Astyanax mexicanus: one gene and its partner. The protein of the gene in region 2 interacts with the protein of the main gene of each other region in a pairwise test. Links are inferred from orthologs where the notes say so. Each region holds a gene or a part of one and is shown on either strand. Other genes may lie near its edges. The genes, in order: apoc1 and apoa1b.

Region 1 (13,173 bases), on a different chromosome or scaffold from region 2:
GCCTAGCAACCAGTTAGCAACACCTTAGCAACCACCTGGAAAAGGTTAGCAACTGCCTAGCAACCGCTTAGCAACCACTTTAGAAATGATAGCAAACTGTCTAGCAACCACTTAGCAACTATGTGGAATGTGTTGGCAACTGCCTAGCAACCAGTTAGCTACACCTTAGCAACCACCTGGAAAAGGTTAGCAACTGCCTAGCAACCGCTTAGCAACCACTTTAGAAATGATAGCAAACTGTCTAGCAACCACTTAGCAACTATGTGGAATGTGTTGGCAACTGCCTAGCAACTACTTTAAAAATGATAGCAACTGCCTAGCAACCAGTTAGCTACACCTTAGCAACCACTTGGAAAACGTTAGCAACTGCCTAGCAACCACTTAGCAACCACTTTAGAAATGATAGCAACTGCCTAGCAACCAGTTAGCTACACCTTAGCAACCACTTGGAAAACGTTAGCAACTGCCTAGCAACCACTTAGCAACCACTTTAGAAATGATAGCAACTACCTAGCAACCACTTAGCAACACCTTAGCAACCACTAGGAAAACATTAGCAACTGCCTAGCAACCACTTAGCAACACCTTAGCAACCACTAGGAAAACGTTAGTAACTGCCTTGCAACCACTTAGCAACCACTTTAGTAATGATAGCAACTGCCTAGCAACCACTTAGCAACACCTTAGCAACCACTAGGAAAACGTTAGCAACTGCTTAGCAACCACATAAGTAATGATAGCAACTGCCTAGCAACCACTTAGCAACACCTTAGCAACCACTAGGGAAACGTTAGAAACTGCCTAGCAAACACTTTAGAAATTATAGCAACTGCCTAGCAACCACTTAACAACATCTTAGCAACCACCTGGAAAATGTTAGCAACTGCCTAGCAACCACTTAGCAACCATGTGGAATATGTTAGCAACTGCCTAGCAACTGCTTAGCAACCACTTTAGAACCGATAGCAACTGCCTAGCAACCACTTAGCAACACCTTAGCAACCACTAGGAAAACGTTAGCAACTGCCTAGCAACCACTTTAGAAATTATAGCAACTGCCTAGCAACCAGTTAGCTACACCTTAGCAACCACTTGGAAAACGTTAGCAACTGCCTATCAACCACTTAGCAACCACTTTAGAAATGATAGCAACTGCCTAGCAACCACTTAGCAACACCTTAGCAACCACTAGGAAAACGTTAGCAACTGCCTAGCAACCACTTAGCAACACCTTAGCAACCACTAGGCAAATGTTAGAAACTGCCTAGCAACCACTTTAGAAATTATAGCAACTGCCTAGCAACCACTTAACAACATCTTAGCAACCACCTGGAAAATGTTAGCAACTGCCTAGCAACCACTTAGCAACCATGTGGAATATGTTAGCAACTGCCTAGCAACTGCTTAGCAACCACTTTAGAACCGATAGCAACTGCCTAGCAACCACTTAGCAACACCTTAGCAACCACTAGGAAAACGTTAGCAACTGCCTAGCAACCACTTAGCAACCACTTTAGTAATGATAGCAACTGCCTAGCAACCACTTAGCAACACCTTAGCAACCACTAGGAAAACGTTAGCAACTGCCTAGCAACCACTTTAGAAATTATAGCAACTGCCTAGCAACCACTTTAGAAATTATAGCAACTGCCTAGCAACCACTTAACAACATCTTATCAGCCACCTGGAAAATGTTAGCAACTGCCTAGCAACCACTTGGCAACCATGTGGAATATGTTAGCAACTGCCTAGCAACTGCTTAGCAACCACTTTAGAAATGATAGCAACTGCCTAGCAACCAGTTAGCTATACTTTAGCCACCACTTGGAAAACGTTAGCAACTGCTTAGCAACCGTGTGGAATACGTTAGCAACTGCCTAGCAACTGCTTAGCAACACCTAAGCAACCACCTGGAAAACGTTAGCAACTGCCTAGCAAACGCTTAGCAACCACTTTAGTAATGATCACAACTACCTAGCAACCACTTAGCAACCATTTTAACTTTTCAACGTTATTAGCGTACTTTTCCAAGCCAACTTAAAGTTCGTTCACGAACTTTGCCTTTTCTAGTTTTATTATTATTATTATAATTTATAGTCAGATTCTTGCCATAAGTGGCCACAAGGGGTCCTAGAAGTACTGATATATTAAAATTGATTGTATCATAGTATTTATTTTATGTATTCTTGTATCAATTTAATTCACTTGTCCATGCATTGTTACACTGTAACTATAAATGTACCTATGTTTTAATGTAATATTATTGAATTCTAAGTTTACAATAAATAATCATATTTAATTGGCACAGAATAATAATTTAATAGTTTAATTTAACACCCAAATGTCCAAATATTTATAAACCACCAAAACTCTGAACAATTTTATTTAGGAGGCTTCTGTGGCTTGATGCATGAAATTTTATTTTTTTATCTTTCTAAATTATTATCTACCAAAAATCATTTTACTTGTAAAACTGTATTTGTATAAGTACATATACAAGAAAGTTATTTTTAAAAGTGTTAAGTGTATTTTGTGTTTATCTGCGTATTGCATTACTTGGTCTTGGCGGCGAACTCGCTCTGCTCAATCTCCTTGATGGTGGCCATGGTCTTCTCAGCCACATCTGATCCGAATTCCTTGACTTTTGTGTGGAAGTTGGCGAAGTGCTGCTCTATTGTGGGCTCCTCCTGGGCCTCTGTGCAGAGAGAAAAGGTTCATAAACTTGTTTAGAATGATTTTAGTGCAACACAATGTGTTCTGTAAGCATGCTAAAGGTTACGGCATATAAATAAATTACATTACATGCATGTGTGTTACTGTATGTAATGGCTAATGACTTATTCACTAAGTTAAGAGAGTTTTGTATTATATAATTTGGACTAAAATGACCATTTCCAATTTGAGTTGGAAAAGTTTGTTATAATTGCTTATTTTACAACAAATGACTTTGATCATGTCTCAACCACTGATTTACGCAGATTTTAAATAATAAAAAATCAGCTAAATGGCCCTTAAATATTAAACATGTACTGTGGTTTTAAATAATATAAATATACTTAAAGACAAAAAACTAAAAAAGTAATTTGTTGTTATTTTTGTTTTTTCAAAGCTTAAATTTATTGACTAATTAAATTACCTGAAATACTATTTAACTCTGTTATCTTCCTGTGAGAATGTCCACATTCTGATGAACATCTTAACCTTCATAATTAAATAATTTTACTCATTTTTTTTCTTTTTAAATGGTTTAAAGTTTAAAATGGGTAATTTCCCAAAAGAGCACATTTTAAAAGACCATTTAAAATATGTAGAAAGTTTCCTACAGCATTTTGTCCATCATTTTATCTCATGGAGCCCAGAATATATGGGTTAGTAGGTTACATGGATTAATGCTGGAGGATGGACAACAAATAGCTAAACTAGATGTATTATTTAAAAATATATACACTTTAGTTGCTACATTAAATAAATGTTTTAGGTTCCATGTATCTAATAATTGTTGTTTTTAGCCTTAAAATATTTAAAGTCATGTGCCCACAGTAAAGAAAAATAAACATTAATGAGCTGCACACTGAATTGATCATATTTACATATTTAATTTTGAATTTTATACCAATATTCAGAAGTGAACATATTTTACTAATTGATTTTACTAATATTATTTTATTTTTAAATGTTATATTATTTATATAGTACTTTTAAACGTATATATCTATGTCTTATGTATTTAATAATCTTAGGCTGTTGCTAAAAACTAAAAAAGTAATATTAGTTAAGTAAAATTCATCTGAAGCGTCAGTTCAGCTTGTTATCAAACAAGGAATCGATTCGCTCGAACGATTCGTGATTCGAGTGACTCAGTGATTCTTACCTGCGTGCGCAGCCAGCACGAGCACCAGAGCGGCAATGGCGAGGTACAGTCTCATGTTTGCTGGTTTTACTGAAAAAAAGAGAGAAAAATATCCACATATATTTAGTTATTATACACAAATGAGGTATTACAGAGCTAAAGGGCATTACAGAGACATGAAATATCCTCGAAAAGTAACACATTTAGGCTTAAATAAGCATTTTTAGACCTGAAGTTAATAATATAAAGTTAGCTAGCTAAGCTAACTACTAACTAGCTAACGTAATTAGCTAGCATAAAAAACAAAGCCATAGTTTTTACATTGGTTTTATCCTGTTTCCTTTTTTCAATCCACTTGTTAAATAACATTTTAAAACAGTATTATACAAATTTTAAAGAATCCTTAGTTGTGTATTTTTATCTAACCTTATATAATCCTAGCTAGCTAGCTAATTAGCTACATAAGTAACGCTAGTTAGCTACATTAGCTAGCTAGCAAGGGTTAACTCATATAGCTAGATAAAAATACACAACTAAGGAGTATTTTAAAGACGTACAATATCGTTTTAAAATGTTATTTAACATGTGTTTATCTAGCTTCCTTTCCTCTCTCATTCTAAATGTTAAATAACATTTTAAAACTAACTTATATTGTACAAATTTAAAAATATTTTTTAGTTGTATATTTTTATCTTTGGGTATAACTCTAGCTAGCTAGCTAATGCATATGTAGCTAATTAGCTAGCTAATTGTTTTAAACTGTTTCTCCTCTTAAACCTCACACAGAAAAGGTGTAAAACTGACTCCTAGATGTTGCCAAAATACAGCCTTGCAAAAAAAATAAAAATATATATGCATTATTAGCATTGTAGTAATTGTACTAATGCAGTTTTTACAGAAAAAAAAGCATAAACAAGAGAAGAAGCTACATAATAAAAACAAACCCCTATTTTTTAGAGAATACAGTAGCTATAATTTAACCTGTTAAACATTACACAGATACTGTAGTTTTAAATATTATAAATAAGACAAAAACTGTGATTTGCTGTAATTTTGTTGTTTTCATCCTTGATATTAGATTTGCATTAACGTTTAATTTTTAAATTTACGTTTTTTTTTTTTTTTCGATTTTTAAATGTAGTTTTAAAATATATCTTCCTGGATGAATGTCACTGAACTGAACTTCTTAACTTTTTAATTAATACTAACAAGAATTTGAAATGTTTGATATATGTTATTTTCTCTTATATGTTAGTTAATCTCCCACAGACCCTTTAAAGATGCAGAAATTTCTCTATTCATTTTACTCAGTGAGAGAGACACTGTAGTTATGCAATTTCTATCCAAAAAAAAAAACTCCTAAACAATAGAAGTGGCTAGATAATAAAAGCAGACCCCTATGTTGTTAGAGAATGCAGTAGCTATAGATGTACCTGTTTCGTCCTCTTCCAGAAAGAGAAGTTAGAGCATAAAGACAGGCAGACTGCTTGGCCCTATATAGTGAGCTAACAACCTCCTCCTGCTGACGTCATCACAAAACACACCACCTCTGACCCATCAAGGCCTCCCGTAAAGCTTACGCAGTTTTTGTTATGCCATCCAGCCCATTGAACTTCTGTCTTTTGGAGGGGAGGGGGGTGTTTTTGTTATGTATTTTTGTGTATGTGTTTCCATTTGCATAAGCCCCTTACATAAGCATTTTTTTTGTGGAGAAGACTTTAGTAATTTAGAGGTTTATAGGTTTACAGGTTTACTTACGTTCACTATTTCTGATTAAAAAGTGTATTAACGTGATGTACAGGACATACGTGTGTAGTGCTGCTAACCTTTGAGACTCATATCTCTGCCACATACCCAGCGAATGTGATATGTGCCTGCTTGCATGTTGGTGCATGGAGTAGTATGAAGTCCACTCGTTATCAGAATCGCAAAGACCTAAATAATCAATATCATCAAAAAATTACCTGGACCTTGCAACCTTCGATCCCCACTTTGGAAGAAAAATAACTGGCCAAACTAGGACTTACCTTAGACAACATAACATCCTATTAAACCCCTCTTCTCAGTTTTACTTTGCTGAAAGTCCTCTGTTTTTCAAGTCAAATTAGGACATATATAGAGGCCTATTGGTAGTTTTATAGTATATGAGTGTTAGTCAAATGTTGCAACACACACACACACAGCTGATGGCATGTTCCCTTTTTTCAAGCTGTTAAAGGTGTGGAATATGGAGCTACACTAGCGTTAATTTACTTCATTTAAACTCTCAGTTAAGCTCAGTAATTCAACTCATTACAATAATCTAGCTTAAAAAGCATTAAATCGACTCTGAGGTATTATTATGTAGTAAATCTATCCTGAGATATTATAATACAGTAAATCTATCCTGAGATATTATAATACAGTAAATCTACCCTGAGATATTATAATACAGTAAATCTATCCTGAGATATTATAATACAGTAAATCTACCCTGAGATATTATAATACAGTAAATCTATCCTGAGATATTATAATACAGTAAATCTACCCTGAGATATTATAATACAGTAAATCTATCCTGAGATATTATAATACAGTAAATCTATCCTGAGATATTATAATACAGTAAATCTACCCTGAGATATTATAATACAGTAAATCTATCCTGAGATATTATAATACAGTAAATCTATCCTGAGATATTATAATACAGTAAATCTACCCTGAGATATTATAATACAGTAAATCTATCCTGAGATATTATAATACAGTAAATCTACCCTGAGATATTATAATACAGTAAATCTATCCTGAGATATTATAATACAGTAAATCTACCCTGAGATATTATAATACAGTAAATCTATCCTGAGATATTATAATACAGTAAATCTACCCTGAGATATTATAATACAGTAAATCTATCCTGAGATATTATAATACAGTAAATCTACCCTGAGATATTATAATACAGTAAATCTATCCTGAGATATTATAATACAGTAAATCTACCCTGAGATATTATAATACAGTAAATCTATCCTGAGATATTATAATACAGTAAATCTACCCTGAGATATTATAATACAGTAAATCTATCCTGAGATATTATAATACAGTAAATCTACCCTGAGATATTATAATACAGTAAATCTATCCTGAGATATTATAATACAGTAAATCTACCCTGAGATATTATAATACAGTAAATCTATCCTGAGATATTATAATACAGTAAATCTATCCTGAGATATTATAATACAGTAAATCTATCCTGAGATATTATAATACAGTAAATCTATCCTGAGATATTATAATACAGTAAACCTATCCTGAGATATTATAATATAGGAAATCTACCCTGAAATTATAATATATAAAAAAAAGCATTTGCACTACACCGTTATTTTTGTACCCCTCCCAAAAATATAGTTAAAGTACCTTACATTTAAAAAAATGTAATCCCGATTTTATCCAGGCTATTGTTGGGATTATTACAATTATTTCTTAAGCGATATAATGACAATTTTTAACACTAATTATTTTATTCACATTTAAATACCCATTATCGAAAGCTTAGTCTTCAGAAAGAAAGAATGTGATTATTCCTAATTAATCACAGAAGTCTATTGTGATTAATGTGATGTATTTTTTTTTTTCGATCGACACCACTACAAATAACATTGCAAAAATCTTAAACTTATTTTAACTTGGGCCAAATGCACTGCAGCCCTACATTTGGTTACATCACTGGTCAGTTGTAAAGTATTTTGCTGATAAGGTCATGATAAAACACTCTCTGTGATCATTATAGAGACAGATAGAGGGTTTATCAGCTGGTATTGATTAGCTGTTTGTTTATCTGTATAGAATTATGTAAACCTGTGCAGTGATATCCCCGAGTAATACGGAGGAGTGCAACAAAATGCCCTGATTTGTTAAAGTGCTGAGACATCAAGGCTTATGTGTGTTAAGTAAACTTGATGAATATGATATTATATTCTCTGCTTCAGTTTGTGAATAAGTGAAATAACAGTCACTCTGTAGTCAGGGAAGCGGTGGATGTGTTTCTTTTAAATTTATTTAGTGTTCTGAGGCAACAGCATTACATTACATCAGCAATGATGATTACATTTTACAACATGGTGGTGCCAATTTAGTTTTAGCTTGTTGTTTCTGAACTTTCATCCAAAGATAACATCAAGCTTTCGATTTAATTCCACTGCTGTTATTTATTTACATATATAAAATAAATTTAGTTCCAGATTCTTGGTAGATTCACATTTTAATATCTAGAGAGATAATGGAGATGATTCAACAAAATCATCCTTCTAAATTTTAAATGGATGTCAGTATTAACCACATTTTTTCATAGTCATTCATTTGGTGTGTTTTTATTGTGCCATTCATCAGGAAAGATCAACTACAGGTTTAAAATAAGATTGCTATTTTTGCAATCTTATTTAAAAAACACATTAAATTAACATATTTAGATCACTTAATTATGCACCAGGAAATACACCTTATAGGAGACCTACAGAGACATATAGTTCAGATTCTTGGAATTTATATTAAGTATTATAGTGAGAGTTAAGAAAATATATTTAAATGCCTCATTAGCAAAAAAATCTATTTTATAATAGAAAAAGAACATTACTTAACTTTTAATTAAAGTCTGTGTAAAAATCTTATATTTCGAAGATCAACCGTGAGGTTCAGATGGTTTAAAAAAATGTGAGAAATACAATATATTATATAGGTTGTACTCAACTTAGTCTTTTTCTCCAAAAGTGCCCAAACACAATAGATTACATATTTACTCACTAAACATCAGTACTGTCCACATTTAAACAACATGTAGACATTTAAATGCCTTTTAAATCTCATGTTCAGCTGTTTTTTTTTTTTTTTGTTTGTTTTTTTTAAGAGATGGAAGACATGGCAGAAATAATCGTTAACTAATCGACTAATCGAAAAATAATAATCAGATTAGGTGACAACCAAAATAATCATTAGTTGCAGCCCTAGTTCATATAATAGACAATATCAAGATTATCAAATATAATTGAGGTCATGTCCATTTATTGTATGATAAGTAGATATAGAGTAATTATCCTGACAGGCTTGTGTCTGCAGATACTTTACTTTATGTACTGTATGTGAAATTTACTAGTTATGCCAAGAAAAGTGTTTCTAACCGACACGATTCCCAGCACAACTGTTGTGTTCCTGACAATAACGGCCCTAATTCTCTTTACTGTGTTTTCTGCTTCACTAAGTTCTCTCTGCCCTGGTGTTTTGGAATCATGAGTCACACGTTCGGACCATGCCGAGTCTATTAAAAGGCCTTGATCTCGTCAGGCCTGTTGTTTGGCCTGATTTGAGAAAAAGTGCTGAAAAAGGTCTCTGCGGCGTCTAGACTCAGAGCAGGAAGGGAAGTGAGACTCCGTGCAAATGAGGACATTGTTGATGAGGGAGTCATGCAGGGAGGCAGTGAACTGCAGTTACCTCTGGTCGTGAATATGAAAAGACCTGAGGCCCGAGGGGAACGAACGGCACTATTAGAAGCTTTTAATCTGGAGCCATTGGATGGCGTGTTTGATGGCTCGCACCATTAGGGGATTAGCTCTTGTGAGCTTTTTCTCACTTTTTCTTTGTCTTTGGGCTTTTCATATGAATGTGTAACACAAGTTGTTGCATGTATGCATGTCTTTACCCATCACTTTAAACTTTTGGGTAAAGAAGTTTGGAATCACTAGTCATATTAAAGAGACATTCCTGCATAATAAAACTGTAAACTCAATCAGAGCGATGATGTGTGAGATACTCTGTTCTGCAGAAACGTTTAGCCTTGTAAAAGCTAAACCAGAGAAAGTCATTACACCAACAGTATTTTTAAAAGTAGAATTATATAAACTGCCTGATGCCAGGGTCACTTTTTTTTTTTTGCAGACAAAAAATACACAATCATTCAGTTAAATTTGATGCAAACTCAACAAAAAATGTATAATAAACTTCATTAGCTTTAGTTAACAATTTAACCTTATTTTAAAGTACAGGAGATAAGTTGTTATGAATTAAATTAAATGTTATGTAGTACTAAAAGTAATAGTAGTAGTAAAGCAATACAGCTCTGGAAAAAAAATAAGAGACCACTTCAGTTCATAAATCCGTTTCTCTGCTTTTGCTATTTATAGGTTTACGTTTGAATAAAATGAACATTGTTGTTTTATTCTATAAACTACAGACAACATTTCTCCCAAATTCCTAATAAAAATCTTCTCATTTAGAGCATTTGTTTGCAGAAAATGAGAAATGTCTGAAATAACAAAAAAGATGCAGAGCTTTCAGACCTCAAATAATGCAAAAAAAAAAAAAAAAAAGTTTATATTCATAAAGTTTTAAGAGAAAACAATATTTGGTGGAATATCCCTGTTTTTTAATGACAGTTTTCATGCATCTTGGAATCATGTTCTCCTCCACCAGTCTTACACACTGCTTTTGGATAATTTTATGCTTTTACTACTGGTGCAAAAATTCAAAAGCAGTTCAGCTTGGTTTGATGGTTTGTGATCATCCATCTTCCTCTTGATTATATTCCAGAGGTTTTCAATTTGGTAAACTCATCATTTTTAAGTGGTCTCTTATTTTTTCCAGAGCAATAGTGCATTTTTTCCAAAGAAATGGCTGCGCATTGGCCTGATGAGATTATCACTTCACCAATTTAATCATTGAGTGATTAATCATTAACACAAATAAATAAGGCTAACAGTAGTGTTTGTCTGATGAACATGCTTTTGGGCAGAGTTATGGAAGGTTTAATGTGTGTGTATTTACAGACTTGTGTAATGTTTTTCATCTTTTTTTATTCCAGTAATTTACATGATTATTTCACCTATTTTTTCCCTGCTGTACAATATCCTAACAAAGTGTGTTGTCCACACTGTGGTGTGGATGTGATGTGTGTGTGTGTGCTTGTCAGACAGATTGAAAGGAAAGACAGAGATACAGAGACAGATAAATCATAAATCATGCTGAGTTTTTTTTCTATGTTGTGTGGAGCATGAAGCTGCGGGTCAGGACATGCACCAAATGTCAGTCATGCAGGTAAACAACTAAAGAAAGGCTCCTTTATAAAAAAAACAAGCGTCGGGTTAGGACACGTGCTCTTGTGCCTGGGAGAAGAAAGCGAACCCAAAGCGATGGAGTGTTTTAGGGATTATTTTGTGCTGTGCCAACAGTAGGGGGCGTCGTTGTTGCATTTTTTTTTTTTTGTCCATATTCAGGTCAGGACTGTGAACTAGCCAGTCCATGTGTATGGACATCCTTGGAAAATATGTTATCTAGAAGGCATCATGGGCCCCATTTTATACTATGTGCAAGGCACATTGTGATGCTCATTGCTATCTTACACTCCACCAACAGTCAACATTTTTTTTTTAATCCTTGTGCCTGTGTCATTTAAATAGCAAAGACCCATACGAAAGTGGATGTTGAGAACCTTTGCCCAACTTTGCTTTTCAAAGACTCAGCTTTTTAAAATGCAGGAATGGATGTATATTAACAAAGGAAGTGAAGTTTGAATATATAATGGGACCCTTTTTAGCAATCTATAACTTACTGATCATCATTGCGCATTATGCAGCTTGATTTAGTGCATGTCGGTGTGTCTTTGGTATCGTACGTTTGCAAAATTACACGTTGTGTAGCTTAAAACGCACAAAAGCCATGCTCTAATTCTCTTAATGAATCATGGGTGTGTTTAATTTTGGGCGTAACATGAAATAAACCAATCAGTTTGCCAGTAGTCATTCCCTTTAAGAGCCAAGTGAGCTCTGACTTTGGCACATTCGTATCGTAACAGTCCGGCACTTTTTGCGTCTCAGTAGAGGATACACCAGCAGCTCATTTATTTAAGGGAACAGCAATGTTATTTTATTCTTAATTCTGTTTATTGTTGAGTTAAAAGCCTTCTCTCACTTTAGTCATTGGAGAACCTGTGTTTTCCACTGCCAAGATAGCAACACGCCAGAACTTTAGCTGAACACACCTCACTTCCTAAACTCTAATGCTATTTTAACAGTTCGGGGGCAAGTCGTAAAAAATAGATTGTTGATGAGGTGTAAGGTAGCAAAGAGCATCACAACACACCTTGTGAAACTACAATTGGGCCCTTTGTTTTTATTTGCATTTTTTATACTGTCACAATGTTTTATGATATGGATTTATAATTTATTACGTTGCAAATATAATCACAATTTTATATATTTTTTTGTCAGTATCACCCAGTCCTGTGTGATGATTCAGTGGACGCTTGGAGGCGCACTGGAATCTCAGCAGGTTACTGGAGGTCGTTGGTCCCAGCACCTGTGAGCTGAAGCGCAGATGAAGTTGGTTGTTTGAATTGGAATTGCTGACTTGCAGAATGTTTGCGTTTTTTAATGTTTATCCCTCCAGCAAAACAGCTGACCCCTGCAGCTCCACCGTAAGAAGGGACTTTTGTTTTTGTTACTGGAAAATCGGGCATGATTTCAACATAGGCTTCCAGGAAAAGATCTCGAAACGAATGCAGTATCACTTCAACTTGTCTCTCATCTTTCTTTCTTTGTAATTTTGGCTTTACTACTTTTACACTGTTTTTCTGCCATATGCTTTTAAATAATAATAAAAAATAGGTCAAAAATAGTACAAAGTACTTAGTCATTAGGTGTGCATTTATGCATAACATGCAATACAGTAGAATGTGGGGATTTGAGATGTAGCCGCAGATATGTAGAGGGTGATACGTTATTGATTCCTAAGGGAGCATAAATAAGCTTATCTTAAGAAATTGTAACTTTATCTCCTACTATAAAAAATTTTCCTCCAGAAAAAAAACACCCCCAAAGGCTGATTTATCAGTGTACAGCTGTATGCTTTCGCAATACCCCAGTACACTTTTACAAGATTTGACAAGCTGATTGTAAAGATGAGTGGGATTAGGAGAGAGGAGGAGAGGGAGTCATCTACTGGTTTAAAGTCACATTGCATGTGTTGCAGTTAAGTTAAAATAATTAATTTTGGCACATTGTGGTGCCAAAGTCAGTTAACACAGGTTTGTTTGAAGTTGTGAAGAAGTTATCTGATGTGGAGACATGTATAAAGTACTAGAGACCCAGACTTCAGTCAAAGTACAAGTGCTATATCAAAAAAGTGACTTGAATAGAAGCTGAAGTATTCTTTAAGCTCCACAGTAGGCTGTGAAGGTGTGCAAGCAGCTCGTTTATGGGAACAGCAATGGTATTTTATTTTCTATTGTGTTTAATGGTGATATAAAAGGTTGGGTTTGTGCACTGTAATGT
Region 2 (12,439 bases):
AGTGAGGTTCCATCCATCCTTCTCTGCTGCTGTGGTTTGATTCAGTTACTCAGTTAAGTCCAATCTCTTTGAGAATATCCACATTCAAATTTCCTTGTAAGAAAAGGAATGGAGAGCGGCTTTAGGTGGCACTGTCTAAGAATGTCCTAGCTGAACTGAGCTCTCCTTCTGGTTTTTATACACTGTGAGATGCTAATTAGGCCTCTACTCAACACTCATTCATTCCTTTTGCACATAACCTCAGAAACCAAGATCATACGCTCCATCAAGACCAAGTACTGCTTAATTACATGTATATATTATTGACTGAAGACAGAAGACCATCAGTGCATCTGTGTCTTCGCGACAATCAATAATAAGTCCCTGTGGTCCGTTTGCAGTGTTCAACACACAGCTAATTGGATTTTTAGCACAAGTATCCTGTATGGAAAAGTAGAACTAGGAAACAAAGAAGTCGCCCTCTGACCCCTGGTGGACACTGTGGATGTGGTTCTTCAATAACTCCCCACTTTCAACTCTGCCCTCAGCTCAGTGCTAAATAAATGGATCACTTCTAAGCCTGAAGGGCCTGTCAGACGGCTAAAATGGATTGGCTAATAATTGCTTATTCTTTGGTTCTTCCAAAATCAAGGGTTTTTAATAGTTAAGAGTGTATCCTGTTTTTGTTGGAGCAACTGTCTCTACTGTCCTGGGAAGGCTTTTACTAGATTTTGAGAGAAGGATTTCTGTAAGGTTATATGTAATTTAATTATTACATTCAGCAGCAAGAGTTTTGGATAGAGCACCCACCATTATTCCAGAAAACACAGTTAATTTAGCTAATTTCCAGTGGGTTTTAAACCTATTCTGTTGGTAATACTTTTACAGGGACTAGACAAGCTTTTCTATGGCATGTCAATGGTACATTTATAGATAAAATTGCGCTGCTTAAGTATATTTATGATTAAAATGGCGCTGCTGGGTTAGCTAGGGTAGCTAGCTAGCTAGCTAATTGTGTGACTAAAACAGCATGACTGAAATAAATGAATGACTAGAATAGCACTGCTGAGGTAAATGTGTTGTGCTTTTTTGGTAAGGTTTTAAGTGTTTAATACATATTTTTAAACTGGAGCTTTGAACGTGCATTTTGTTTGAGACAAAATAACATAAAAATACAATTAAATAGCTATTTAATTTTGTTCAATGGTGAAAAAAGAGGTAGAATTAATGAAAACCTGTGAAAAATGGTATTCACTTCGGTATTCAGTTTTGGATAAACATTGTAATTTCCGTCCATCTCTGATCTCTTTATGTATTTATTCATTGTGATTTATTGTGGATTATCATAGGTGAACCGTTATATATAAGGCTGAACACTTTGATTATACAAAATATTAATTAGGTTTACATTAATTAAGCTAAAAATAATTTATAAGAAATGAATGCTGTTTCCTAAAGTTGAACATAACATGAGGCTTAATATTTTGGCTGATCTGTGTCAAACACTGACAGGGTTTAAAAACAGCGTCTCCTGCATATCATTCATTGACCTCATGTTTTTAAGGATCAAGATGTGCTTATGGATCTCCTTGCCTAATGTTCATGGATAAAAAGATTATAGGGTGGTGTTGGCAAGACTTTGCCTGAGGCAGTTCATGAAGTTGTCTCATCCATCTAATACTAATAAGTACAAGATCTCTACCAAACATCAGGTCAGGATCTGTTCCAGGTGATTTATTATCCTAATAAAACCCATTAGTCTCCAACAAACGCATTTCATAGGTCCTAGTGTAAATTTTCTGTTTCTGTTTTCTGTTTCTTTTTATTTTATTTTTTTCCAATTTTTTAATCAACAGGATAATGGACAATAACCAATTGATCCCTATATTTATCATTAAGTTATTGTGCTGCTTTACATTTGACCTGATGTCGAGATCTTCAGGTAGAAAATTTTAATTCAAATGCCCCACAAGTTAGATTTCATATTTAAAAAAGTTAAGAGAGGCTCACCAATATTTTAAATGAATAGTATTATACTGTTTACTGTCACTTCTATCTATTTGCGTGTCATTAAATCAGTCGTACACACAACACTGTCCAGCTTCTATCTGTGGAATTGCTTGAATAGTGTTTGGTTGATACTGTTGTCAACTGGTATCGATTAGCAATGCTAACCTGGGATAATGCTAACAGTAGTAACCTGGGACATAATAAAGGAGTTTATATTTTAAATAGATTTGACACAAAAAAGGACTGTCAAACCCAGTTGTAGTAAAAGTCTTTAGTTGACAGTTTTTTGACAATAGTGTTTTGAAGTAGTGTTCAATTGTCATATTCTTAGTCTTAATGCAGAAACTATTTTGTGTGTGTGTGTTTAATAATAGTTTGTTTAGCACATCTTGAGGAGTAATGAAAGTGAATATGCACTGGGGACAGTTTTGTTGGTCTACAAAGTCTTGTACGTCCCATTCTCTCTGAATAATTATGCATTACTTTATTCTGTTGAATGTAAAGGCTGTTTTAATTGGAAACTGTTTTTTAAAGATATTTGTATTATCATATTAAAGTAGTAGTAGTAAATTTATGTAGAATTAACGGAGCTAGAGAAAGTTTATGAGCTTTCTTGTCATTAATGGGGCAAAATAACCAAACAAATGATCCATGTCTAAAACCAAAGATTCTGTCATTTTGATTTTGCAGTTTTACAGCTAGAGAAAATATGATTTTATGTCCAAATAACCCTTAATTCACACATTTTATGTACCACCGTATGCCTAATAAATAATGTTAAACTGCTCTGCTAATGTTTAATGTATTGATGAGAGCCAAAGCTGAAGGACACCTTAAAAAAACACTTAAGACACAAAAGGAAGTTGTATGAAACAGTCTATTTTTATTGAGCCATTGTTTTGGCACACTTTTTAACAACACAGAAGCACAGCGAAAGGTATTTTTTAGCCAGGCGTTAAAGAATGTTGCACAAAAACAGGTCTTGCATATACTTAAGCATGTGTTTGCTTTAAGTGTCATCAAAAGCTTGGCCAATTGTAAGACAGGCAGTAAAAGTCCTTTGCTGCATCAGCGCGTGGTGTGAGTAAGTAAGTGTGTGATGGAAAGAGTCCTTTTGTATGATAAAGCCTTACAGACTTGGTGTTAGTAACAGGGTTTGGAAATGTAGGAAAGGGTTGAAAGAGGCTGTGATTTGGTGGGAGAGGTGTAGGATAAGAAGGTTTATGCCATGAAGGCCTTTTGGAGGGTTTCCACAATCTTCTCCAGCTGGGGCTTGATCTCTTCTCCCACGGTGGCCAGCTTCTTTTGCAGCTCTCCAGATTCGTACTTGGACTGCAGCTGTCCGAAGACGCTTTGTGCGTGGTCTCTGTACTCCTGGACGTAGGGGGCGACAAACTGCCTCAGCTCTTCCACGCGCTCGGTTGCCTTGCTACGCAGGACCTCCACGATGGGGGTCAGCTTGGACTTGGTCTCCTCCAGGTTGGTCTTGATCCTTTCCTGCAGATCCTTCATCACGGGCTCCATCTTGACGCGGAGCTGCTCCATCTGCTCACGGTGTTTTTCTGTGAACTCCTTGATCAGGGGCTCCAGCTTCTCACGGTACTCATCGAGGTGTTTCTTCACCACCTGGCGCAGCTCCTCGCGCTTGGGCTCCAGCTCTTTGCGCAGATCCTCAACATCTTTCTCAACCTTGGCGCGGAGAGCAATGACGCCTTCCACTACTTGGGGACCGATGGTCTCTCTGACTGGAGCAAGGGAGGTAGAAGCAGCCTCAAGGTAGCCTTGGATCCTTTGCAGGGACAGGGTGAGGCGCTCCCTGTGAAGAAGACAAGAACAAAGATCTTATAGTTACTGTTAGTCTTTAGAGTAATAAATGAGTAGGCCTGGAAAAATAAGCTTAATCTCTTACTTGACTTCCTTGTAGTCACCATCATCAAGACGGTCGATGGCTTTCTGAGCTGTCTCCTTCACCTGACCCAGGTATGTCACAACTGCAGACCTAATCTGTTCATAGTCAGTTGGTGCATCTGCCTGCATGTAGCGGGCCTGGCAACCTGAACAAGCAGGAAGAGGAGGACGAATTTAGACTAAAGATTTTGAACATGCTGCTGGAACAGACATACTGGACTAGGTATTGTTTAAACCTTTTATTATCAGTGTTGGCAAATTGGAACATTTTTTACCTGCGGCCAGAAGAATGGTCAGTGCTAGAGCCACGAACCTCATGATGGATCTGTGAAGAGAAGCAACAAATATTGCAGGTCAGCATCTTTTAAAGAGCTTTGAAGAGCAACAACACATCTTTGACAATTATTACCTAAAGCCTGATGAAACTAGAGAAACTCTCAAGCCGTCCTGAATGAGTTCAGTCTACAGCATATGTCAAGCCTATCAACCTACACTCTAATCCAGACTGGATATAACAGAGCTGCATGGAGTTACAAAGGCTTCACTACCAGATTAGCTCTTAACCATGGGATAATCTTCAATCCCCAAGATTACTCTTGGACAGCCAGGGAGGATTTGTCCCTATCCTGGGGTGACTCTTTAGGAGGCCTTTGCAAAGAATTAAAATGCTATTGGGAAAAATGTAAATGTTGTTCTAAATTGTGATTTTAGCCAGTCTTTCACAAATTAGAATTGTCTTTTAAACAACTCAAGTATAAAAACTAAAACTTAAAAAGTACAATGTCCTACAACAACTGCCTCTATACAATATATAAGTTTTCAGTGCGTAAAATCTTCAACTCTTCAGCCGTGGCTGTCCAGTGAAAAAGTGCCGGTTCCCTTGGCTCAGCTGCTTACCTGTTGATGATGCTGGTCTTGGAGAGACTGATGAGCCTGAGGTGGAGATGGATGTTTTATAGGGCCCCGGGGAGTGGGAGGGAACACTGTGGGGAGTGAGTTTGCCTCTGTGGAGTTGGACCTCACCCCCTCTCTGATTCACTGGACGAGTTGGGTACAATGGTCACCTACTGAGTAGAGGGGGAGGTTGTCATCGATAGAAGCACAAAAGTGCTGTGGAGATGTTTATGTTCAGTTTCTTCTGCTTTTTGGACGTTTTTCGTGCAGATAAGAACGTGAACATGTTTTTGTGTATTTGTGTAAACACTTGGTAGAATATTGACTTAAAAAGGTTTTGCATCATTCAAAAACATACTATTTGTGCATACTTCCTTTTAGAACTTTTTGATCCATTGTACTATTTACTCATCTGTCGCTTATACAGATAATATAATATTCTTTAAATGACCATTGCACACTTCTGTAACTCGATTAGAACCTATATAGTTTGCTCTGTTTTCATTGTAGTAAAGGCATAAGGCCATAAAGGGGGTTCAATGCTTGTGGCAGTGGAGAACCATTATTTCTATAATTATATATATCTATCCTCCAGCTTGGTAAAAATTGGATACTTTTAAAAAAAATTAACTTTAGCATGAAAAAAGCACATTTTTAATGCTTTTTGAGTGTGAAAGTTAAATAAATCAAATTATGTTGCAGATAATTGGGTCAAATGGTTTAGAATGTTAAACCTGTTCTTTACAGGTTGGAATCATTTGAAGAAATGACTTGAAATTACTTGAAAATGACTTAAATCACCTTAATTAAGTTAACATCTAAAATATCTTGTATCTCCAATCCAATCTCAATGCACATACCCTTACAGTGCATTGTTTAGTTTTTTATATTTTATATTTAGAACATACTTTAAAATATTGATTAAATTATCTTATTGCCTTTTATTTCATAATTTTATATGTTCATTTCTAACTCATTATGATTGCAAATAAAATTTAAATAACCAGAACTTTATGTTCCCAACAAAATCTGTGCACACAAGCTTGTAAATTTGCATGGCCGTGAACAGGCAGGCCATTAGTCTTGAGTGGGAGCATTGAGTAAACTGATAAAAAAAAAATGCAAACACATCTACTGCAGTAAAATTCAATGATCAAATCAGTGGCATTAGAGGGGAATCTCCTTCTTTCATTTGTTTTTTTTTTATCCCTCTGTCTTTTCTTTATCAGGGTAAAAGATCCAGCGCTCTCCTGGGTTCTCTGATAAGGTTCTGAAAGGGCATTGGGTACAGACCCGCACCATAAAGCAGTGTCGTAATCTTCATGGTACACTCTGTTACCATATCGCTGCATTAGAAAAAGCTGCCAGACTGCTCTGCATGCTGTGGCAAAATGACAAATGGGTTAAAGGGTCAGTTGAGCTGTCCAGTGTGTGTGTGGACTTTGTCTGTCACTACAGATTTAATGCAATTTTGAAGATATACGTACTGGTTTTTACACAGTAAAGGGATTTTAAGGCATGATGGAAAGGTTTATTTCTTAGTTGTATTTTTAACATACTAAAAAAAAATTAAACTTTATAACCCTGAGATCACACCTTGTAGCCTGGATGCATGTAGAAGCTAAAATCCTATCAGCAATTAGAAGCTTTCTATAACATTAGCATTCAATCTACTGGAATTAGGACAGAAATTAGCAGAAAATGTATCAATGCACTTTTTCAGCCTTCCTGATGAACTCTATGCTTAATCATTAACCTACAAAAGCAAAGAGAAAATCAGCAGAGCAAATTCATGGAATTTAAGATGGACTCCAGGGACACTATCCAAAATGCTCTGCCTATGTGGGAGTATGACGTCTGAGTCAGCAGAACTGCAGTTGACTATTAATATATAGGACAAATATGGAACCAGTCCATCCGTTTTAAATCCATTTGGACCCCTGAACATAGTGTCACACGTATGTAAGAATATAAGTTCAAAAGTGCAGAAAAAAAGTGCAAAGTCAAACGTCAGACCATTACTTAACCGCTCATCCCTGCTTCAATACTGCTAATCAATTTCAAACACTGTCCTTGTACTTTAGCCTTCTAGATTCAGTTCATGTTTTTAGAGTTGAGGATACCAAGCAAAGTGTTTTAGTTATTATTTTTTCCCTATCTTCTCCCAAACACATAAGGTGTGCAATAGCACATGGCTGTCATTGTTATTTTCTGTTTTTAAATTCTCCACGCATTCTCTATTGGGGACAGGTCAGGACTGCAGGACTTCTTGAGAAATGCATGGGTGCACATGGAAAAGATGTTGCAGCGTATGTAACTGCAAAATCTCAATGTAATTTTCTGCCATAGTTAATCGCAGAAGTGTACTTACACTCAAATTAAGTCCGGATAGTCCATTTAGTTAAAAATGATCTGGAATAATGATTCATCAAACCACAGTACTCATGTCCACTGTGTAATGGTCTATCTGGATACTTTTGTGACCAGAGAAGTTGATGCCTCTTCTGAACATGGTTAACATAAGGCTTGCAGTGGCATAAACATAAAGTTGTAAGTGTCATTTGTGGATGTAACTCCATTGTAGTGTTTGAGAAATATTTGCCAAAGGAAGTCCTACCAATGTTTATCTATCAGCTATTGTTGAATACAGGTTCTTGGTGCAGTGCTGTCAGAGGGTATAATGACATTTTAGTAATACTGGCAAACTGAAGATTCTCAACCCATCCTTGCTCCTTAAATATTCAACCTGTGATTTCATGCTGAAGAGATAAAAATACTCTAAAATGACTTGAATTTAAATAAAGTTTAGAACATTTTCTCTCTCCTGATAGATAATCAAGCTTGTACTGTATACGGGAATGTTTCTCAAAGACAGGCCGTCCGCTGTAACAAAGCATTAGCTTTCAATTGCAAATGAGTTCCCTCCCTCCTCGCTGATCCTGAGATGGCTCTGCACTTGATTACAGTGTCCCAAATCCCCAAACTTTCTCTTCACTTCACACGACTTTTATAACCAGGCTCACACCCCCTCTCCTTAATCCCCTCCACAATTCACCCGCAACCTTTCATTTTCCATTCTTCCTGCCAGTAAAACACCGGCTCCCTGCTGAGCGCATTTCTAAACACAGTGTCAATAGCTCTGTTCACTCCTTTAACTCAGCGTGGATCAGGAGACGACTGGCCAATTGGCCCCATTTGTCAGATCAGTTAAATGATAGTGGTGAAGGTTGAGTTGATCTTGTAGTTGTTATCTCTGTAATTACAGTAAGATACAGTAAAATATCATGCATCCTTTACTTTCCTTATTTATACGTATATATTTGTACGTTTATATGTCTAGAGTTAAAACAGGGTGTTTGGATAACTGTTACTTATTTTCTTGACATTTAATCTCCACCATTCGTTTTATTACTTTAATTCTTTTATTCGTGCCTTTATAATGATCAAAGGCTCAGTTTACAATTTAAATATCTAGATAACGGGAATATCTTAATTTTTTAAATTATTTTATTTATTTATTTAGTGTTTTTTGTACAGCTTTCTTTTTTCCAGCTATGGATAAGGTACCCAACCCATGTTCTTGAGTTAAAGCAGAGACACACAAAGTAAAAGTAGAAGTCCTCCTTTAGACCTCCACTCGAGTAAAAGCACAAAAGTATTTGCTTTTAGATGTACATAAAAATTATTAATTTAAAAGTATCATATTTTGTTATGGGTGTAAAGTAGGTCATGATCCATATAGAGTATAAAAATTATTTAAAAAGTTATTAATTTAAAAGTATCATATTTTGTTACGGGTCTAAAGTAGGTCATGACCCATATAGAGTATAGTCATATGATAAGCTTTGGACGCTACTGTTGAAATGCACTTTCATGCAAAAATGCTTTTTGATAATAAAAAAACTATATATGGCTTTTTTTTATTGATATTCTTTATATAAACAATAACCCCCAAATGTGTCTTAAGAGCTATCAGAATTTTTTTTTTCTAAAGGGATTTGTAGTTATGTTCATTTACCAATGTAAAAATTGCATTTGCCAAACATTTAAGAGCGTACAACATGCTAATCTAAGTGTAGAACTGAATGTAGTGTGGACAGTATTCTACTGGAGGACTGATAAAACAAACCTTTGGTCTGGCATTATCTCAGTTAGACACCAATGTCATCACTGAGAATAAATATTAGAACTAGTATCAGTTTCTTCTTTTAAACAACTGCCCTGCTGTTTTTATTGGTGCTAATTGCACTGTGTTATAATAGGATTATTCAGTCATTATTCAGGGTTAAAGACAGTACATTCAGTACTGGTTGCAGTACATTTCCCCAATATCTCCTAAATACCTAAGGAAAATGGTGGTCTTAAACATTGAAAACAGGATAAAGGAGCATAATAAAGTTTCAGCTTGAAATCTAAGGACTCCCCATATCAAACTACATCTAGCACTGCTTCAAGGTGACATCTTTGTTAGAGACTTCCAGGCATTTTTTTAACAAAACAATGCAAAGCCACATGCTGCACACATTACAAAAAAGAAATGACTGCAGACCAAGAGGGTACAGAACTGGGCTGGCCTAACATTTAAATGTAAAACACTTAGGGTTAGCAATGTTATTTTATTATATTATTTTGTTATTTTATATTCTGTTTATTGTTGAGTTAAAAGTCAGGTTAGCGTGTCTGTGTGTGTGTTTGTTTAAAAAGCGAGGGTGTACGGGTGCTGGCGCACCTATAGGAGTGAAATCTTGACAGTTAAACTATAGTCTAGGTTTGTTTCAGTAAGTGGCGCACCTGTGTTTTCCACTGTCAGGTTAGCGTTTAGCCGCTAATTCTAATGCTCCAGCCTTAGTGCTGTTGAATCCGGTAATCCAAGCTTACTGTAAATAAACAAATGCGCTTTACTGACCCAAATAAACAGTTTTCAGGAGAGATATCTGTGTAGATTAACATCCAGTGCTCGTTTGACTTTAAAAGAAGGTCATTTTTTATTACAACTTTGTTTACTTAGCTTAGCCTGCACCCTGCGCAAGGCACTTCACCATGCTCTTTGTTACCATACACCAAGTCAACAGTCTATTTTTGAGTCTTACACTTGCGCCGTCAAAACAGCAAAGGAGTTTAGCAATACCCTATTTTTCGCAGTATAGAGCGCATCGGGTTATAAGGTCCACTATTAACTAAACTAGCTAAGTTAATAGTGCACCTTATAACCCGACACAAGAGGAGCACATTGGAGCACACTTGTATAAACTACAATAGCATGGAAAAAGTAGAGCAAAAGTCACTTTGAAAGCATCTTTGCAGGGTTAGATTAGGTTTTTGGAAGGTGATGTGTGGGTGCCAATCATGGATGTCACGTGACCCGTGGGCGGAGGAATAGAGAGAAACTATGGCGCAAAACAAGAGACCATGGTCCACCACCTACACAACGACACACCGAGAACAGAACAAGATTTCATACAAAATTATTGTCAATAGATTAGTTGATTAAATATATATATATACATTGGTATATATTTGGCATGTGTTTCTTTCACATTCATTTTAATTCAGTGTTGCATGGATATTTCAATGAAAATGGCTGGAATTGCTGTCGTTCTGTTTAAACATGATGTTCCATTCACTGGATTCTTGGTGGACTTAGAGGTTTTCAATGCTAATATTTAGCTTGGCAGTTCATGATGTCCAGCTACCCTAAAGCCACTAAACGTTTTTTTAAACAAACGCCCACGCTTGAACTGATTTAAGAGAACTTTGCAACGGCCTTAATCGAACTGTCCCTTTGACACAGATACTCAGCAAAGTCCCCATGCAAATGCTGCATTACATAATGGTAAAAATGACCATGCAAAAAAAGAAATATTAAGATATTAAAAAAATATTAAATGATCAGTTCTCAACTTATTGGCATTGAAAAAAAAACATATCTAAGTAAGGAACCAGCAAAGCAAAGATTTGTCCGTGTTTTTAAAAGCTCTGTAAAATTATCTGATGTGTGAATTAGCTTTAAGATGCGTTTTGAGATTTTTCAGAATGGTGAGTCGCAAAAAAAAAAAAAAAAAAAATCATACACAGCATGTTAGCAAAATGCAAAAAAAAAAAAAATCCTGCATAAAATTTTAACTTAAATTAACCTCCAAGAACGTCTGTTCCAGCTAATGGTGAAGCTGGACTTCAGACTGCAGGTCAAATGACAGGACGGTTGGGACACACACTTCTGGACAGAGGATAAATCTTCACATTTTTGTTCCAGAATGTATTAAAATTGAATGTATTACTGTGTATGGAAACACTGTTACAGCTACACTCTGGAGGAGCTGTTGTGGAGACTGGAGGGGTAAAAGTTGGATGTAAATCATACATCATCAGTAGTGGACCTCACTTTTGCTCTTATGGCTGAAAGCTATAAAATCCATGCAGCAATGTTTGTAAGCAGTATCTTAAGTAAAGCCTTCCCAGAAGAGTTTTTATGTGGTTACTGCATCAAATTGTCATGTTTAATTAATTAGACTGCAAAATAAGTTTAGAATGTTCCAAAACTACAAACTTCCAAATACCAACATATCCGCTATTACATCACAGTTTAGCCCCGCCCATTAAGACACAGTGCAGCCAATCAGAACAGAGCTTAAATATGTATAAAAGACAGAGCAGTATAAACTGCCTTCTTGAATAGAAAGGAGAAAAAAAGGTTTTAAAATCATGATGCTTAGAAATAAAATTACATTGTGCGTAGTCTTTTTTTTTTATTTATTTTTTTATCTATTCTCAACTTCTCCCTGCTTCTTTCTGCAGTGATGGACCAAAGACACTGGGACACAGCAGATATACTTCTCTAAGTGAATATAATAAACAGTTTGTAAAGGAAATTTACCTTTCTCACACGGCAAATCTCAACAGTTGGAACACTGGATCAGTAAAGGCTGCGTCTCAGTTTGATTATGTATCATGCAGTTTAAATAAAAGTGTCAAAGCTACTTATTCTTAAATATTCACAAAACATACTCAGTGAAACAGAAAGGGAACTGCTGCAGATACTCTGAGGAACTTTGTCTGAAACCCAAAGCCTTACTGCCCACACTAGCTTACTAAGAAGGCAGTGTAGGAGCGTTTAGCTGTGTTACCATAGTCATTAGCATTTTAGCCCATTAAAAGAGGTAGATCACTAAACTTTAATTCAGCAGGAGAATTTGCAGTGACTTATGAAGATATATCAATACTTCATCTCATCCACAAAATTAGGTACACCATTAATATTTTGCATACTAATCTGCCAAACCTGCATTATTAACATAGTCAATACTTTAATAATATTAGTGTGTAGTACACAACCGAGTTTTTGAAATGTGAAAACACGGTACCAGTCATCGTCTTGAAGGAGTTCCTGGACAATAGTTGCTGCTTTTCCTTCACGCTGTGAAGCTCCAGCTCATCCCAAATCTCAAATGATTAGGTTTAGGTCAAGGGATTTGGAGGACAAATAATTATTTTGTTTACTATGTAATTTTCATGTCTTTAATATTAATCTACAATGTAGAAAATTGATTAAATAAAGTGAAATCACATTCGCACAATGTAAAGTTCTATATGAACATAGTTACAAAAAAACCAAACAAACAATATATTGTGTAGTATTTTGATTGAATAT

The links.
Region 1: the proteins of apoa1b (region 2) and apoc1 interact in a two-hybrid assay, tested with the Homo sapiens proteins (2 studies listed by BioGRID, with this or other methods). The link is inferred for Astyanax mexicanus from reciprocal best matches to the Homo sapiens genes APOA1 and APOC1.

What each region holds. Positions count from the first base shown.
Region 1 is NC_064413.1:3,263,862-3,277,034, reverse strand, and holds the start of apoc1 (apolipoprotein C-I), read right to left. Parts: upstream 5,443-13,173; 5' UTR 5,284-5,442; intron 3,941-5,283; 5' UTR 3,927-3,940; coding exon 3,872-3,926; intron 2,696-3,871; coding exon 2,557-2,695; intron 1-2,556. UniProt on the Homo sapiens protein: Inhibitor of lipoprotein binding to the low density lipoprotein (LDL) receptor, LDL receptor-related protein, and very low density lipoprotein (VLDL) receptor.
Region 2 is NC_064411.1:43,929,089-43,941,527, forward strand, and holds apoa1b (apolipoprotein A-Ib), read right to left. Parts: upstream 4,860-12,439; 5' UTR 4,795-4,859; intron 4,223-4,794; 5' UTR 4,216-4,222; coding exon 4,173-4,215; intron 4,044-4,172; coding exon 3,899-4,043; intron 3,806-3,898; coding exon 3,211-3,805; 3' UTR 2,853-3,210; downstream 1-2,852. Other genes in the region: T-box transcription factor TBX1, read right to left, coding at 1-17. UniProt on the Homo sapiens protein: Participates in the reverse transport of cholesterol from tissues to the liver for excretion by promoting cholesterol efflux from tissues and by acting as a cofactor for the lecithin cholesterol acyltransferase (LCAT).